3 linked regions of the Ovis aries genome follow. The protein of the gene in region 1 interacts with the protein of each later gene in a pairwise test. Links are inferred from orthologs where the notes say so. Each region holds a gene or a part of one and is shown in the gene's direction. Other genes may lie near its edges.

Region 1 (5,246 bases):
CCCTGCTCGGCCGCCATCGCTGTGAGGCGGCTGACCGCGACAGCTCCTCCTCCGCCTGCCAAATCTCGCGATAGCAGCTGCAGGTGGCGGGCCAGTGGCCTGCCGCTACCAAATCTCGCGAAACTCTTTTTCCCTCCCGGGAAGTTGCCAGAACTAACTCTGGGCAGCCTCGCCTCTTTCCGGCTTCGGTGAGCCCTTGCGAGAAACTTTATTGACACAGCTGCCAGACAACAAGCAGTGGCCTCTGCGGCGAGCGTGCTGAGGCTAAGCTGGATCTGGGCAGATGGGCTCACAGCTAGGAGCATGACTTTGCTTTGTCCGACAGTGGTCATTTGGCCCATCCGTTTGAGCCGAGCCTCTTTCAGATTGCTGGATAGAATGATTCAAATGCTCCCCTTTTCCCTATTAAACAAAAAACGTGTATGTGAAAAATTTCTTGGACAGTCAAGCATGACATAAGAGAAAGGCCATCCAATACAGAACTTCTGTACCTGGGCCCTTCAGTTCCCCTACCCCAACTCAAAGATTTCCATTTGCTGTTAATCTCCAACCAGCCCAGCAAACATTTATTGAACACCTGCCATCTTCCAGCCACAATTCTGGGTTCTGGAGACGCAGGCATGAGCAACTCAGACACTGCCCCTCCCCTCATAAAGCTCAAATGACTTTAGGGGAAAAGATCCACAGGAATGAGAAGCAACAGCCTTATGTTTCTGCCCACCTGGTCTTTCCATGGGAAAGATCACGTTGGATTCCTATTGCTTTCTTAACCTTGCTGCTGCTGCTGCTGCTGCTAAGTCGCTTCAGTCGCGTCTGACCCTATGCGACCCCATATGGCAGCCCACCAGGCTCCGCGTCCCTGGGATTCTCCAGGCAAGAACACTGGAGTGGGTTGCCATTTCCTTCTCCAATGCATGAAAGTGAAAAGTGAAAGTGAAATCGCTCAGTCGTATCCGACTCTTCGCGACCCCATGGACTGTAGCCTACCAGGCTCCTCCGTCCATGGGATTTTCCCGGCAAGAGTACTGGAGTGGGTTGCCATTGCCTTCTCCGTTCTTAATATTAAACCTAACCTAAAAAGCGCAGTATCTTCCCTGGTGGCTCAGAGGTTAAAGCATCTGCCTCCAATGCAGGAGACCCGGGTTCAATCCCTGGGTCGGGAAGATCCCCTGGAGAAGGAAATGGTAACCCACTCCAATATTCTTGCCTGGAGAATCCCATGGATGGAGAAGCCTGGTAGGCTACGGTCTATGGGGTCACAAAGAGTCAGACATGACTGAGAGACTTCACTTGCTTATTTACTTACTTAACCTAAAAAGCAAAGTGTTCAGTGGACCCATGTACACCCTGTAGTGGGAACATAAATTCACCTTCTAGACATCGACTGACCTTTCTGTCCTGAAACAACCTGTCTTTCCCACTAATTGGCCTTTCACTTGCTGTTCCTCTGTCTGGAACACTTATTCTCCAGATTTCCCATCAGGTCACAGCTCAAATATCACTTTGGCAAAGAGGTTTCTCCCTATTGATATTGTCATGTTGGTTTAATTGCTGGGCTTCTTATTTATCTGTTACCCCAACAGAGCCAGCTTTTTAAGCACAGAGACTTTGCCTGTCATCTTGTTCTTTCCTGTGTCTGTCCCTAGAATAGTGCCTAACTAATAATAATAGGTGCCCAGTAAATACTGAATGAATAAGGGTAGTAATTCTACTTCTTTTGGGGTATCCCAATCTATTTCAAGAGCCCTTTGATGAAGAAACCCACTCTGTCCCCTTTGCTTTCCTGTGCTGGGAGTTCCTACATATCCCATGTTCCCAGGACACACACCTCTAGGCTCAGAAAGTATGACTCCTCCTTTAATGCTTTTTCTGTCGGCCGATTCAGCAGGGCGGGGCCTTCGCCTTTAAACTGGGCCCCACCTGCTCTGGTCAGACAGGTTTGGAGACACAGGTAAAGGGAGGGAGACGGAAAGGAATACTTGCAGAGCCAGCAGAAGAGCTGGGCAGCTCCTTCCCGGACGCTGGGGACCCTCTACCTCTCTCCAGATGGAAAGTAAGAGGGTGTCATGGGCCCACACAGTAGGGGGGAGGAGATCCTTGGGGAGGTAGAGAGAGGGAAATCAGCCCCATCCAGAAGCAGTGAGATGGAAGGCAGCAGGGAGGGGACAAAGACCAGAGAGGAGGCATGGGAAACAACCTTCATTAGACTTAGAGGTCAGAGTGGATCCACCTGGGCCCTCCAGAGACATAGGGGGTGGGTTACTGAGAAGTTTGGAAACTGACCGAGTATCCAGATTGGAGACAAAAGGCCAGGGTGCCCTGCCACTGCCAGCTCCTTGGGACAGATCTGTTGGCAAATCATGGGTGTCAGCTGCCAGGAAAGTTCCAGTCGGGGATCTGCAGGGGAAGGGGAGATGTGGAGGAGAAGGGGCAGCTTCTCTGTTCACAAGATCCTTCATGGGAAGAAAGCCCTTTGCAAAATTCTAAATATCTCCCTTTCCTCCCGTTCCTGCGTTAGGGTGGCCATGACCCCAGGGGTTTTGGTGGAGGGGGTAGAAGGTGTGGGTGGAGGCTGACTGAGGCCATACCTGCCAGCGCCTGCGCCCCCTGACTCACCCTCTCCTGCTGAAAAGCATTTGATGTCGAAAGGGTGCCTCCATTTCAGCTGTTCACTTCTCTCCTGCCTCCCACTGTTTGAACACCTTCCTCCAGATCAGGTTCTCTCTAAGATCCCAGAAGGGGCTAAAGCCTGTGAGGCCAGCTGCCCTGGAGAGTTGCAGTTCAATCAACCCCTCCTGAGGGCCAGAGGATGGCAGCTTCTGACAGAACTTCACTCTGCTCCCTCCAGGGTGACATGACTTTGTGGTAGACTTCAGAAGTCAGGTCCCAGGATGACAGAACCCGAGACCCTGGCCCTGCTGGAAGTGAAGGGGCCTGAGACCCTGGAGAAGAGCCCACCCCAGGCCTTGGTCCCCAATGGCCGGAAGCTGGAAGGGGAAGACGGGGTTGAGTCCCTTGGAGCTGAGTCCTCTAGAGTGGGGTCTGCAGCTGAGTCTCCCACAGCCAGAGAGGGGACCGAGGATGGTCTAGACAGCACAGTAAGTGAGGCTGCCACTTTGCCTTGGGGAACTGGCCCCCAGCCCAGTGCCCCGTTCCCAGATCCCCCGGGCTGGAGGAACATTGAGCCTGAGCCCCCCGAGTCAGAGCCACCCACCAAACTAGAGGAGTTGCCTGAAGATGAAGCCAGCCTGCTGCCCGAGAAGGCAGCCCGGGCCTTCGTGCCCATCGACCTACAGTGCATTGAGCGGCGGCCCCAGGAGGACCTCGTTGTGTGCTGTGAGGCCAGCGAGGGTGAGCACCGCCGGACCTTCCTGCCCCCCCGGGCCACCCACCCTGAGCCCCCGGAGTGCAAGTGGGCCGAAGCAGTGGTGAAGCCGCCTGGCCACTCCTGTGGGGGCTGTGGGGGCTGTGGAGGCCGAGAGGTGCTGAGGGCCGTGGCCTCGGTGACAGCTGCCCTCATCCTCTTCCCCTGCCTGCTCTACGGGGCATACGCCTTCCTGCCCTTCGATGCCCCACGCCTGCCGACCATGAGTTCCCGCCTTATCTACACCTTGCGCTGTGGGGTCTTTGCTACCTTCCCCATTGTACTGGGTAAGCCTGGGCCCTGCGGGTAGGGAGGGGGCGTCTGGGAGTTGGGCTGGAGGGCAGGGCCTGCCTGACTTGGAGAGCAGGAAAGTTTCCATCACTAGACCTGGACCCTCAGGGCCTCCCACACCCTGTCACCCTGTGTGCCCACCTCCACTCAGGACCACCTCAGCCCCATCCAGGGTGCAGAGCCCTATGCCCGTGCTACAAACTCTGCCACCTGCTTCCTCACCTGATCCTGTGTGTTGTCCAACCCCATCCAGGGATCCTGGTGTACGGGCTGAGCCTGCTGTGCTTTTCTGCCCTTCGGCCCTTTGGGGAGCCGCGGCGGGAGGTGGAGATCCACCGGCGATATGTGGCCCAGTCGGTCCAGCTCTTCATCCTCTACTTCTTCAACCTGGCCGTGCTTTCCACCTACCTGCCTCAAGATACCCTCAAACTGCTCCCTCTACTCACTGGTCTCTTTGCCATCTCCCGGTGAGCTGGGGCTGGGGGTGGGGCACAGGGGAGGTAGTGGTGCTTAAGGGACCTGGGCATCTGAATGTCTGGAGAGCCAGGGAGATTCTGGACTCTGAATCAGCCCAAATGTGCACCCTGGAAAGTTGAGTCCACTTTCCGCCTTGCACTTTACCTCACTTGGCAGCTCCTGTGTCTTTCGTAAGACACATATATCAACCTAGAACGGGAAGGGAAGGGCATTCGGGTGTCACCTAGACCAGCTTCCCACCCATTGCAACCACTCCTCGGTGACACTCTGGTCAGGCGGCCACTGGCTGAACATTGGTTGAACATCCCCGTGACCAAATGCTTTGTTCTTTATAAGGCAGTCTTACTTATCAAAAGTCCTAGTTTTTATAAAGTTCTCTTTTATATTGTGCTAAAAACTTCTGCCCTGACTCTAACCTCTGGAATTCTCTAGTCAATTCAGATCTTTGACAATACCTCTCAATTCTGACTCCCAACAGTCTGCTCTCCCAGTGCTTACTTTGCTAAATGGTCCTGGTCCCTTCACTAGCCTGTGTCTTTCCATCTAGGCAGGAAATTCTGCTTGTCAAATGGGAAGGGGGTGGGAACTGGTCAAGGGATTGTCCTGTTCATCGAAACTGAGGGCACATGGCAACCCACTCCAGTACTCCTGCCTGGAAGGTCCCATGGATGGAAGAGCCTGGTAGGCTGCAGTCCATGGGGTCACTAAGAGTCGGATACGACTGAGCGTCTTCACTTTCATTCTTCACTCTCATGCATTGGAGAAGGAAATGGCAGCCCACTCCAGTGTTCTTGCCTGGAGAATCCCAGGGATGGGGGAGCCTGGTGGGCTGCCATCTATGGGGTCGCACAGTCGGACACGACTGAAGCGACTTAGCAGCAGCAGGTCTCATAGCAGCCTCATTACTCTCCTTTCATTTAGAATTTGAAGATCCTTAGGTGGGCTGCCATCTATGGGGTCGCACAGAGTCGGACACGACTGAAGCGACTTAGCAGCAGCAGCAGCAGGGTTATTTTCATGTAAACTATGTTAACCCAGAAAGGTACCCTTGAATTTCTGAAGTCTTTCAGAAATGCAGATCTTTCCATTTTTTCCCCCTAATACATTTATCATA
Region 2 (5,109 bases), on another chromosome or scaffold:
CAGGTCCAATCCTTGATCAAGGAGATAGAGCCTGCTGCCACAATAATGATAAAAGGTCGCAAGTGCCCAGTGCAGCCAAAAAAAAACAAAAAACAAAAAAAACCCTCCAGCTTGATCTCTGAAAATGGTTTGCTCCTTCTTTGATGCAGAAAACCCACAGAAACATGTAAACCCAGAAGTTCAAACATTCGTGTTCACTTTAGGAATATTCATGAAATGGCACAGGCTATCAAGGGTATGTATATCCCTAAGGCCACCAAGTGTTTGAAGGATGTCACTTTACAGAAGCAATGTGTGCTGTGCCCTTGTTCCAATTGTGGAGCTGGTTGATGTGCCCAAGCCAAACAGAGGGGCTAAACATAGATTTGGTGACCCAAAAAGAATGCTTGAGTTTTGCTGCACGTGCTTAAAAATGCAGACAGTAATGCTGAACTGAAGGGTTTCGACGTGGATTCTCTGGTCAACAAGCCCCCAAGATGCTGCACAGGACTTCGCAGAGCTCACAGTCGGATTAACCCCTGCAGGACTCCCCCCGGCACACAGAGATGATCCTGACTGGGAAAAGAGCCAGTTATTCCTAAACGTGCACAGAAACTTGCGCGGAAGAGAAAGCTGTCCCAGAAGAAACTGAAGAAGCAAAAATGTATGGTCTGGAAAATAAATTCAGCATAAAATAATTTCAGGGACTTCCCTGGTGGTCCAGGGGTTAAGAATCCGCCTGCCAATGCAGGGGACACAGATTCAATCCCTGGTCCGGGAAGATCCCACCTGCCCTGGGACAACTGAGCTGGTGTGCCACAATTCCTGAGAACTCACTCTAGAGGCTGTGCTCCGCAACAGAAGTCACTACAGAAGAAGCCTGTGCACGGCAACTAGAGAGTAGCCCCTGCTGGCTGCAGCTAGAGAAAGCCTACAAGCAGCAGTGAAGACCCAGGACAGCAAAAATAAACAAATAAATAAATACAACTTAAAAATAAATGCAAAAATGGTAAAACCAGGTTAAAAAGAAAAAGCCTTCAGCTTACAAACAAGCCCATACAAAGAAAGAAAAACTGCATGTTAGTAAGAATTTATAACTAGAAGGGACAGTTTTCAGAATTTGGGAAAGAATGACCAGGGGCATGTCTGAGGTTAGGTACAAGACATGTGTGAATAGGCAAAGAAGGTACACTTGAATTGAAAATCTGACACTCCCAGGAAATTTATGAACCATTTATGAAACTCTGCACTGATGCCAAAGCACCTCGTGCCTTTGGTACTATCCCTGTGGGTCCACAAGATTTCCCCTTCCTGGAGCTTAGGCTCCAGGGGCAATTTGGAGGCAATTCTGGGAGCAAATCTGTTGGGAAGTGTGGTGGACCCATTGGGTCTGGCCTTTGGTTGCCAAAGAGGTTCAGCCTGGCAGAAGAACAAGAAAAGCCATAAGATGGCAGGGGCAGGTGCCAGCAAGAATGGTAGGCATGCCAGGAAGACACCCACGGTGAGAGGTGCAGATTTCTCAAGGGCAAGGTTGCTCAGCTTACCCAGCTTTGCTTTCCCTGGGGCCAAGAGGACTCACGCGCCAGGGCCAAGGGCCCTGAGGCGCTCTTGCAGCTGGCTTATCTGGCCCTTGGCTCTGAAGGGCCAGGAACAAACAGGCTTCAAAGCTGAGGGCTTGGTTGGCAGACAGGGGCTGGGTCTTTTACCTCTGTCCTGTGTCCATGCTGGCACATATAAGACCCTAGTCATACTCAGAGATGAGGAGGGAAGGTGTCTACAGCAAGATGGATGTGGGCAGCAAAGAGGTCTTGATGGAGAGCCCGCCGGTGAGTCTGATCGTATGTACATGTATGTGTGTGTGTATGTGTGCAACAGTGTATCTGTGTATGATGGGCTCTGCCTCCTCCAACTTCTCCGGGCCTGTTTCCTACCCAAATTCATTCACTCAACTAACCTAGGACTGTGCTAAATTAAGACAGGGACACCAATCACTAAGACAGAGACTCTTGGAGTAGCAGACTCAGCAGCCACTAATTCTCATACAAGGGGCTGTGAGCCATTAAAGGGGTCTGTGGAAAAGACTGTAGAGAGCACTGGGAAAGGAGCCACTACGCGGGAGGTCACAGGAAGCTTTGCAGAGAAACTAACATTTGAGCTGGCTCCAGAGGAACAAGTCAGAGCTCAGCAGGTGGAGAAGGAGGAAGGCATTGCTGGAAGAAGGGATCATACACCTAAAAGCATGGATTTGGAGGGGAACTGGAGGGGATGGGTGTGGCTGGGATGTCAGAGGTGTGGAGGAAACAGCAGCAAGTGAGACTGGTTGAAACAGGCTCTCTTGGATCTGTTCAAGCTAGACCTCACTTCTAAGCATCTATGAGTTTGTTGGAATCCAGGCCCCCTCCTCCAGGAAGCGTCTAACCGGCTCAGCCCTCTTCTGCACATCCATGGCATTCTTTGTTCAGTCCCGGGAGAGACTGGGAGGGTGTCCCGGTTGTGCAGGGAGAAGTGGCATCTTCATGACCTCATACCTGTCTCCTCGCCTGCCCCACATGTCAGGACTACTCAGCAGTCCCCGGGGGCCGGCTCCGCATCCCCTGCTGTCCCGTGAACATCAAACGCCTTCTCATCGTGGTTGTGGTTGTGGTCCTTGTCGTCGTGGTGATCGTAGGAGCCCTGCTCATGGGTCTTCACATGAGCCAGAAACATACAGAGATGGTGAGTAGGCTTGGGATGGGGTGGGCAGTGGATACAGGGCAGGTCAGATAGAGGCCCTGGGATAGAGAGCAAATTGCCCACGGGGAATGAGGGGAGGAGGCAAGTGACGCCTCAGGGAAGGACAGAGGTGGAAACAGGGTGGCAAACTCTGCCTGGGCTTTTTCACCAGCCCCCACCCCACAGTTGGACAATCTGTTCCCTCCAGTGCCTGGTTCCCCTGGGCCTCTCTGAGCTCCCAGGGAAGAAAGAATTGCATTTGAGTAAAGAGGACTGGGGCCTCCCAGGCGGTGCTAGTGGTAGAGAACCCGCCTGCCAATGCAGGAGACATAAGAGATGAGGGCTTCATCTCTTACCGGTCGGGGAAGATCCCCTGGAGGAGGGCATGGCAACCCACTCCAGTAACCTTGCCTGGAGAATCCCATAGACAGAGGAGCCTGGAGGGTTACAGTCCACAGGGTCTCAAAGAGTTGGGCATGACTGAAGTGACTGAGCGCAGCACAGCACAAAGGGAACTGAGGGTGGGCATGAGGTGCAGGGATGAGTGGGGAAAGAGGAATGCCAGGCAGCACGATGCCCTCCTCTAGGTTCTAGAGATGAGCATCGCAGGCCCGGAAGCACAGCAACGCCTGGCCCTGAGTGAGCGTGTGGGAACCACTGCCACTTTCTCCATCGGCTCCACTGGCACTGTGGTGTATGACTACCAGCGGGTGGGTATGCGTGGACCTCTTGACCCCAAGGCTAAGGAACCAGTGATAATTCTGTGCTAGACCTCTTCTGCTTTGGCCTTCCTACAGGTTCATCTCTCCCCACGCCCAGCGCTTTTGCTAAGCGCCAGATTCCAGTACGACTCCTTCCAGTGCCCAGCCTAGAGGGGGATGGCCTAGGACCAGAGTTAGGAGTGAGCTAGGCAGCGGCTTCCGAACTGACCCTCATATGTTCCCATGCCCAGCTCCTGATTGCCTACAAGCCAGCCCCCGGAACCTGCTGCTACATTATGAAGGTGGCTCCGCAGAGCATCCCAAGTCTCGAGGCTCTCACTAGAAAATTGCCGAACTTCCAGGTGGGTGTATGGGTAAGAGGGAGTGGGTTGGTTTTTCCCAGGGCTGCTGGCAGGAGCATTTTAGATGATGATTTTGTCACCTGTAAAATGCTGCTCCTCGTGGACTGCCAGGCGAATGTTCTCCCTGGATCCCCCTGCACCCAACCTTTCCTAGCCAAGTTCCCCATCCCTGCCCCGCAGCCAAGCTGCTGGCTTAGCTGAGCCCACACACCCCCTGGGGGCTCTGACTCCAGCACAACACCTTCTTTACACAGAGACTGCCTGGTACACCTGAGGTCCCATGATAAGGACCATAGGTGAGACAGAAACTGAGTTCCCAGGCTCTAAACCAGATGCTCTTTCCAGGCCAAGCCCCCAGTGCCTTCCTCGAAGCTGGGCCAGGAGCAGGGCCGTGACGCTGGCTCAGCATTCTCTGGGGACCTGGCCTTCCTGGGCAGGACCGTGAGCACCCTGTGTGGCGAGGTGCCCCTGTACTACACTTAGGACTGGTCAGGTGAGCAGGTGTGACCTCCAGGGCACAGGAACAGACGCAGTCCTGACGGTTTGGGCCACCTCTTCACGTCAGCTGACCAGGCACTGGGGGACCCAACAAGATGGGGTCACCTACAGAGCTCCAGGGAGGGAAGGTTCACAAACACCCCCTCCAGTCCTCCCTCACATAATAAACAGTGTTTCTTCGCTTCCCAGGGCCTCAGGAAGCCCCAAAGGGACAGTGGAGATCCAGGAGCAAAGGGTCTTGTGCAGATTGGCAGGAAGTGGATACTGTCGACACCACTGGGACTGGCCCTGGAGAAATGGGAGCTGTGGGGAGAGGTGGGCAGAGGAGAAGCAGTTCCTAGGGCCCAAGGGGGCTCCTACCACCAAAGATTAAAGCATCCTGATTGCAAAATGCGTCTGTCCTCTCACAGCCCGGCTCTTGGTGGGGGCCGACCAGGGGAAGGCTAGAGCCTTGGGGGCGCCAAGCCGGCTTTCGCGTTCTCCCCCATCCCAGGGTAAGGAGACTGGGGAGCAATCCGCGGGCTCCAGGCGCCCTCCAGTGGCGTCTCCCGAGGGAGGGAGCGAGACGGAGACGGCGAAAGACCGAAGGACCGAACTAGAGGGACAGGGACCGAGATGGGCGAGAGCGAGGGTCCGAGAACCCGAGAGAGCGAGAGCCGCAGGCGGGGAAACGCAGTCCGAGACGAGGGGGGGCTAGAGCGGGGCGAAGGCTGCACGATCGACCGGACGGCGTGTCCGGAGGCCCAGGAGGGGGCTCGGGCCGGACACCCCGGGGACCGGCGCCCCCTTCCCGGACCCGCCGCCTCGCGCCCCGCGCCGCCCGAGCCCCCTCCGGGCCTGCCGGCTCCGTGCCCTCC
Region 3 (5,090 bases), on another chromosome or scaffold:
CTGGACGAAAATTAATTTTGAGTGGTTAATAAAGGAGTGGGTGTGACTTAGTGAGTAGGGAAACATTCATAATATTTGAAACAATCTGGCAAAGGCTTGGAAGCAAAAGACAGAAATCTGATTACATTCAAGAAGTTTGCCAGTGTTTGACTGAACTATAATTTCTATATCCTCCCTATCACTTCAGTAAGCCCTGTCTTTTTACAAGGCATGTGACAACAGAATGTTGTATTAAGGTTCCCCAATATTGAGTTTATATAAAAAATGAAGAAATGGAGTGGAAAGTTTTTGTTTTAGTAATATTTCTAGTTCATCAGGAATAATGGGGAAAAGTTTGAAGAAGGAAATGACAACCCACTCCAGTATTCTTGCCTGGAGAGTCCCATGGACAGAGGAGCCTGGTGAGCCACAGTCCACAGAGTTGCACAGAATTGGACATGACTGAAGAGACGGAGCGTGCATGCACACACAGGGAATTTTGTTTACGTCTTCTGCGAATACATTATTTTGATTGACTCTACCTGGGAATTCAGAGGGGAAGTTTGTTCTGTCATCTGTAAAGAAAGAATTTGATGAAAAAACACAATTGCTGGGGTCATGTTTAATGGATGTATTTTCAAGTTCAGTTAAATACTTTGTGCTCATTCGCTTAGTCATGTCCAACTCTTTGTGACCTCATGGACTGTAGCCTTCCAGTCTCCTCTGTCCATGGGATTTCCCAGGCAAGAAGACTTGAGTGCGTTGCCATTTTCTTCTCCAGGGATCTTCCTGACCCAGGGATGGAACCCATGTCTGTCGCACTGGTGGGCAGAATCTTTACCACTGAGCCAGCAGGGAAACCCTGTTAAACCCTTCAGAGGTTCCATTTACCACCAGACACCTAGAATGTTTATTACAAACTCATTTTAGTAGTCAAATTTTAGTAAATGTTTATGTTTGAATGTTACACAATTTTATTTCTTTCAGATATACTATATCTCACACTTTCCACTAGTTTTTACCAGTTCTCCTGCTACCCCCAATCTATCCAAATGACTGAGTTTTGCTGTATGGGTTTACTGCTGTATTAGTATATTGACAGAGATATATAAACCATGGCTTCTACAGCTGTTTCAGATGAAACTGTATATTGATGTGTAAACTTGCAACATACAGCTTAGCCAGAAAGTTATGTGGAACAGGTGACTGGGGAGATAGCTTTCACCACTTGGACTAAAATCAGTTTTGAAGGAGCTAAAAGATGCCTATCGAATTCTGGTGCATGTGTGTGGTTTGAGGAGTGCATGTGCACGGCAGAGAATTCTTTATACTTCAGAAACGTTGAAAACATGGGTGGTTAAATGAAGTTACACTTTTACACCCTCATATGCTAAGTGGAAGAGGCAGCCAAATGCTGTAAAAATTTGTTAATATTAGTCTATCACTCTTGGTTTACAGTGTTTTGAACACATGTTAGAGATACTTGTGAAGATGTAAAAGATGAATTTAAAACCTACATCAATTGTACCAAAAGTCAACTGGAAAGAAAAGGATTTTAAGTCCTTGAGCTTTTATTAATAATACAAATTCGCAGCCAAAGGAATAGCCTTAGTCAACACATTTTCATGTCCCCCTAAACACAAATAGCCTCCAACCTTTGGAGGTTGTTCCTTCGAGATGTTTCACCAGTGACATCACAGTGATTGCCACCTCCCTTGGACTACTTTAGGCCCTGCCCAGAGCCCAGAAGTCCAGACAGCCTGGGAGACAAGCAGGAGTTGGAGCCCAAGTAGGAGAGAGAGAGGAGAAGCCTACTGCAGCCCAGTGTGTCCTTGACCCTATTCAGGTAACAGCAGGATTTTTAAGCTTAGCATACAGTGTGTATGTGTGTACAAGTTGCAAATAAGAAAAGCACAGGAATATTTACATTTCTTAATGAAATAGACAATGCCTGTTGTACACAGTGTTTCTTAGACTAGAAAGAGAATATTATTGATTCTTGTTTTCCTTTTTTTCACCTTATGGCATGTGTTGTCTCCCTTCCTATTAAAAAATACCATACAGGAAAATATGTCTTCCATCTTTTCAAAGTCTCCATTCAAAGAAAGTTAATATCAAACAGTTTATTCAGAGTTCTTCTGTTTTTTTTCACTTTGAATCATATACTGTGATCTTGATGTCAGGAAAGATTTAAAATGAGGCCAAAATTGTCTTTGTGGGTTAACAGCAGAATAATGGAAGATTGCTGATCTGGGGTTTTACCTAACTGTGGTATAAATGTGTGTGAAATTAGAGCCCACTCCCTATAGTTAGCTTATATGTTGATTGAATTGGATTCACTAGAAATTCCCACCTTAATGCTGTGTTTTATTACTTTAAAAACATACAAAACAACAGCATTTAAGCTTACCATCAAAGGGCAAGATATAGTAAGAGGTAAACCATAGGTAATAAAGAAGTGTGATGAGTAGCTGTCAATTCAGAGACCACTGAAAAAAAATGTGAAGAGTCCATAAAACATACCCTTTGAACAATTATTGTAAGGCAACATCTGTATTAATATCACTCAGGTCAAGAAATTGTCATTGGCGCACTCCAGAATTCCATTCTTGATCACTTTTCCCTTTTGCCTTATCATCGGTAATCATCATCTTAATTGTTGAGCTAGTCTTATCCATGGTTTTCTTTATAATTTTACCATTTCTGTCTGCGTTCCTAAACAATATAGTTAAATTTCCTGTTTTGGGGTTTGAAGAAATAGAATTACATTCTGTGTTTCTTTTTGTAAATTCCTCTTTTGCTTCATAGTTATTTTTGTGAAATCCACCCATCTATTATGTGGTGCTGAGGTTCATATATTTTATTTGCTCTATAGCATTTGAAAGTATGAACATACCACAGTTCACATTCATTCTATTGCTGATGAACATTTGAGTTGTTTCCAGCTTAGGACATTATGAAAACGTTGCTATGAACATTCTTATATATATAAATCCTGGTATATATGTGCTTGAGTTTCTAAAGTAAGAGTGAAAGAGCCAGATAAAAGAGAATGAACATTATCAACCTCAATTTAAAAATGTCAAATTGTTTTCCCAAAGGTCAAAAATTTACACCAGCCAGGGCAGTTATTTGTGGTTATCATTCATGTTATCACTCCTACAGAGTAACCACAATCCAACAACTATTTCCAGCCTGCCAGTTCTAGTTCTGCCTCTAACTTGCTATGTGTCATCACACAAACAACTTAACCTCTCTCTAAAAGTCAGCTTCTTAGCAATAATCTTGGGAGAGAGAAAAATCACAAAACTTGCCTGAGTTGTAAAAGTCCGAATTGTTGGGAAGGTCACATGAACAAAGCTCTGGACAACTTTCAGCAACATTTTCTGAATGTGTTCCTGTCGTGTCACAGTCTCATAAGATTTGATGGGATAGTTATTTTGCCCTTCCTGGGTAAAATAATGGGTTGTTTTGATCATTGTAAATAAGGCCTCAAATTTTTTACATATCTTTGTACTTCTTTGGACTTACTCAAATAAATTAGTGTTTGGACCAGGATTTAACTTCATTAATAAATCCATAAGGAAGAATCTGCTTTAGAGTCTTTAGATTCTTTTGTTCTTAGGCTCCTTGCCTGAATTAATCAACTTCCTGTCCTCCTCTGCTCTGATGTACATGCTTATACATTCTCTCTATTTCCTTAATACTTCATTTTCTTCTGTTTACTTTCTCCTTCGAGCAAATCTTTGTAAAGGTTTTCATTGGAAATGGTGTAGAAGGCAAAAATATAAGTAAGAATTAAAAGGAAAGTGAATGATGAATCAGTTACCATTGGTCATATTTTAAACCAACATTCAACAACATACCTGTTAATATAATCTTATTGGAACTTATGTGTTATACCAACAATAACATAAGACATTAAAAAGGATCGTTTGACTGGTTTATGCAATTAATAATTTGGTACACTAACAATAAAAGAAATATAGTAATTATAATTCATAATTCAGGGGAGACTTCTTCCCCCTGAACTTCCACTTTAGAAAATAAAACACTTTTTCCCCTTAAACTTTTTCTACTCCATAGTAGACTTTTGCTCTAAATAGTTAAAATTTTATTTCTAATCTTTACTTTCATTTGGTTTGCATATACACAGTGTCAATTATGCCACATCACTGGAAGTAATAATTTAATGTTTCTCAAAGCATGATTTTCCACAAGTATCATCTATACAGACTATAAAGATACCACCCCCACTTTTTGAAGTGTTTACAATATAAGCACATCCTGGACTTGACTAAAAATAGCTGGCACAAGCCCTTGTTGAAATAGAAGTACCCATGGGGTTAACACTTGCTGTTTGGACTGAATGCCTGTTATGTGAGGGACTTTTTGTTGACCCCAGTAGGCTCTATGCCCAAAGCAGGGATTTCAAGAGGCCAAGCAGCTGTTGAAACTACTTAATGCTTTCACAGGGTTAGACAAAGATAGATCAGCTTGGAACTTGAAAAATTATGGTATCCTACCTCTGTATGTAATTTGAAGCAAGAAAAAAATCTAAGCCATAACATTTTTTTTTTTTCTGTTTTGGTGACCTTACTTGCTGGTAGCAAAGCAAGCAAGTATGCACACACATATGCACAGAAGTTGGAGAAAGAAAAATGCAATATTTTGTGTTTTATCAAGTGAAAGTCACTCAGTCATATCCAACTTTTTGTGACCCCATGGACTATATGGGATTCTCCAGGCCAGAATATTGGAGTAGGTAGCCTTCCCCTTCTCCAGGGCATGTTCCCAACCCAGGGATTGAAACTAGGTCTCCCACATTGCAGGCAGATTGTTTACCAGCTGAGTCACAAGGGAAGCCCAAGAATACTGGAGTGGGTAGCCCATCTCTTCTCCAGCTGATCTTCTTCACTCAGGAATTGAACCAAGGTCTCCTGCATTGCAGGTGGATTCCTTACCAACTGAGTTATGAGGGAAGCCCCATAAGCATCAATATAATCATCACAGGAAAATAATCAGAACTGTATCGGTCTTTTTGACATCAGGTCAAGAGAAAAAAAAAAAAGGCTCTCTGTGTAAGTCAAGGTTTCTCAGAGAAACAGAAT

Evidence for each region.
Region 2: the proteins of TMEM79 (region 1) and SFTPC interact in binary tests that used the Homo sapiens proteins (3 or more experiments, as listed by UniProt). The two-hybrid records come from large-scale screens. The link is inferred for Ovis aries from reciprocal best matches to the Homo sapiens genes TMEM79 and SFTPC.
Region 3: the proteins of TMEM79 (region 1) and SLN interact in binary tests that used the Homo sapiens proteins (3 or more experiments, as listed by UniProt). The two-hybrid records come from large-scale screens. The link is inferred for Ovis aries from reciprocal best matches to the Homo sapiens genes TMEM79 and SLN.

Annotation. Positions count from the first base shown.
Region 1 is NC_056054.1:106,287,530-106,292,775, forward strand, and holds the start of TMEM79 (transmembrane protein 79), read left to right. Parts: upstream 1-1,935; 5' UTR 1,936-2,053; intron 2,054-2,848; 5' UTR 2,849-2,891; coding exon 2,892-3,651; intron 3,652-3,908; coding exon 3,909-4,122; intron 4,123-5,246.
Region 2 is NC_056055.1:43,446,141-43,451,249, reverse strand, and holds SFTPC (pulmonary surfactant-associated protein C), read left to right. Parts: upstream 1-1,751; 5' UTR 1,752-1,763; coding exon 1,764-1,805; intron 1,806-2,535; coding exon 2,536-2,694; intron 2,695-3,278; coding exon 3,279-3,401; intron 3,402-3,643; coding exon 3,644-3,754; intron 3,755-4,099; coding exon 4,100-4,237; 3' UTR 4,238-4,247; intron 4,248-4,441; 3' UTR 4,442-4,643; downstream 4,644-5,109. UniProt on the Homo sapiens protein: Pulmonary surfactant associated proteins promote alveolar stability by lowering the surface tension at the air-liquid interface in the peripheral air spaces.
Region 3 is NC_056068.1:16,906,887-16,911,976, reverse strand, and holds the start of SLN (sarcolipin), read left to right. Parts: upstream 1-1,732; 5' UTR 1,733-1,825; intron 1,826-5,090. UniProt on the Homo sapiens protein: Reversibly inhibits the activity of ATP2A1/SERCA1 and ATP2A2/SERCA2 in sarcoplasmic reticulum by decreasing the apparent affinity of the ATPase for Ca(2+). Also inhibits the activity of ATP2A3/SERCA3.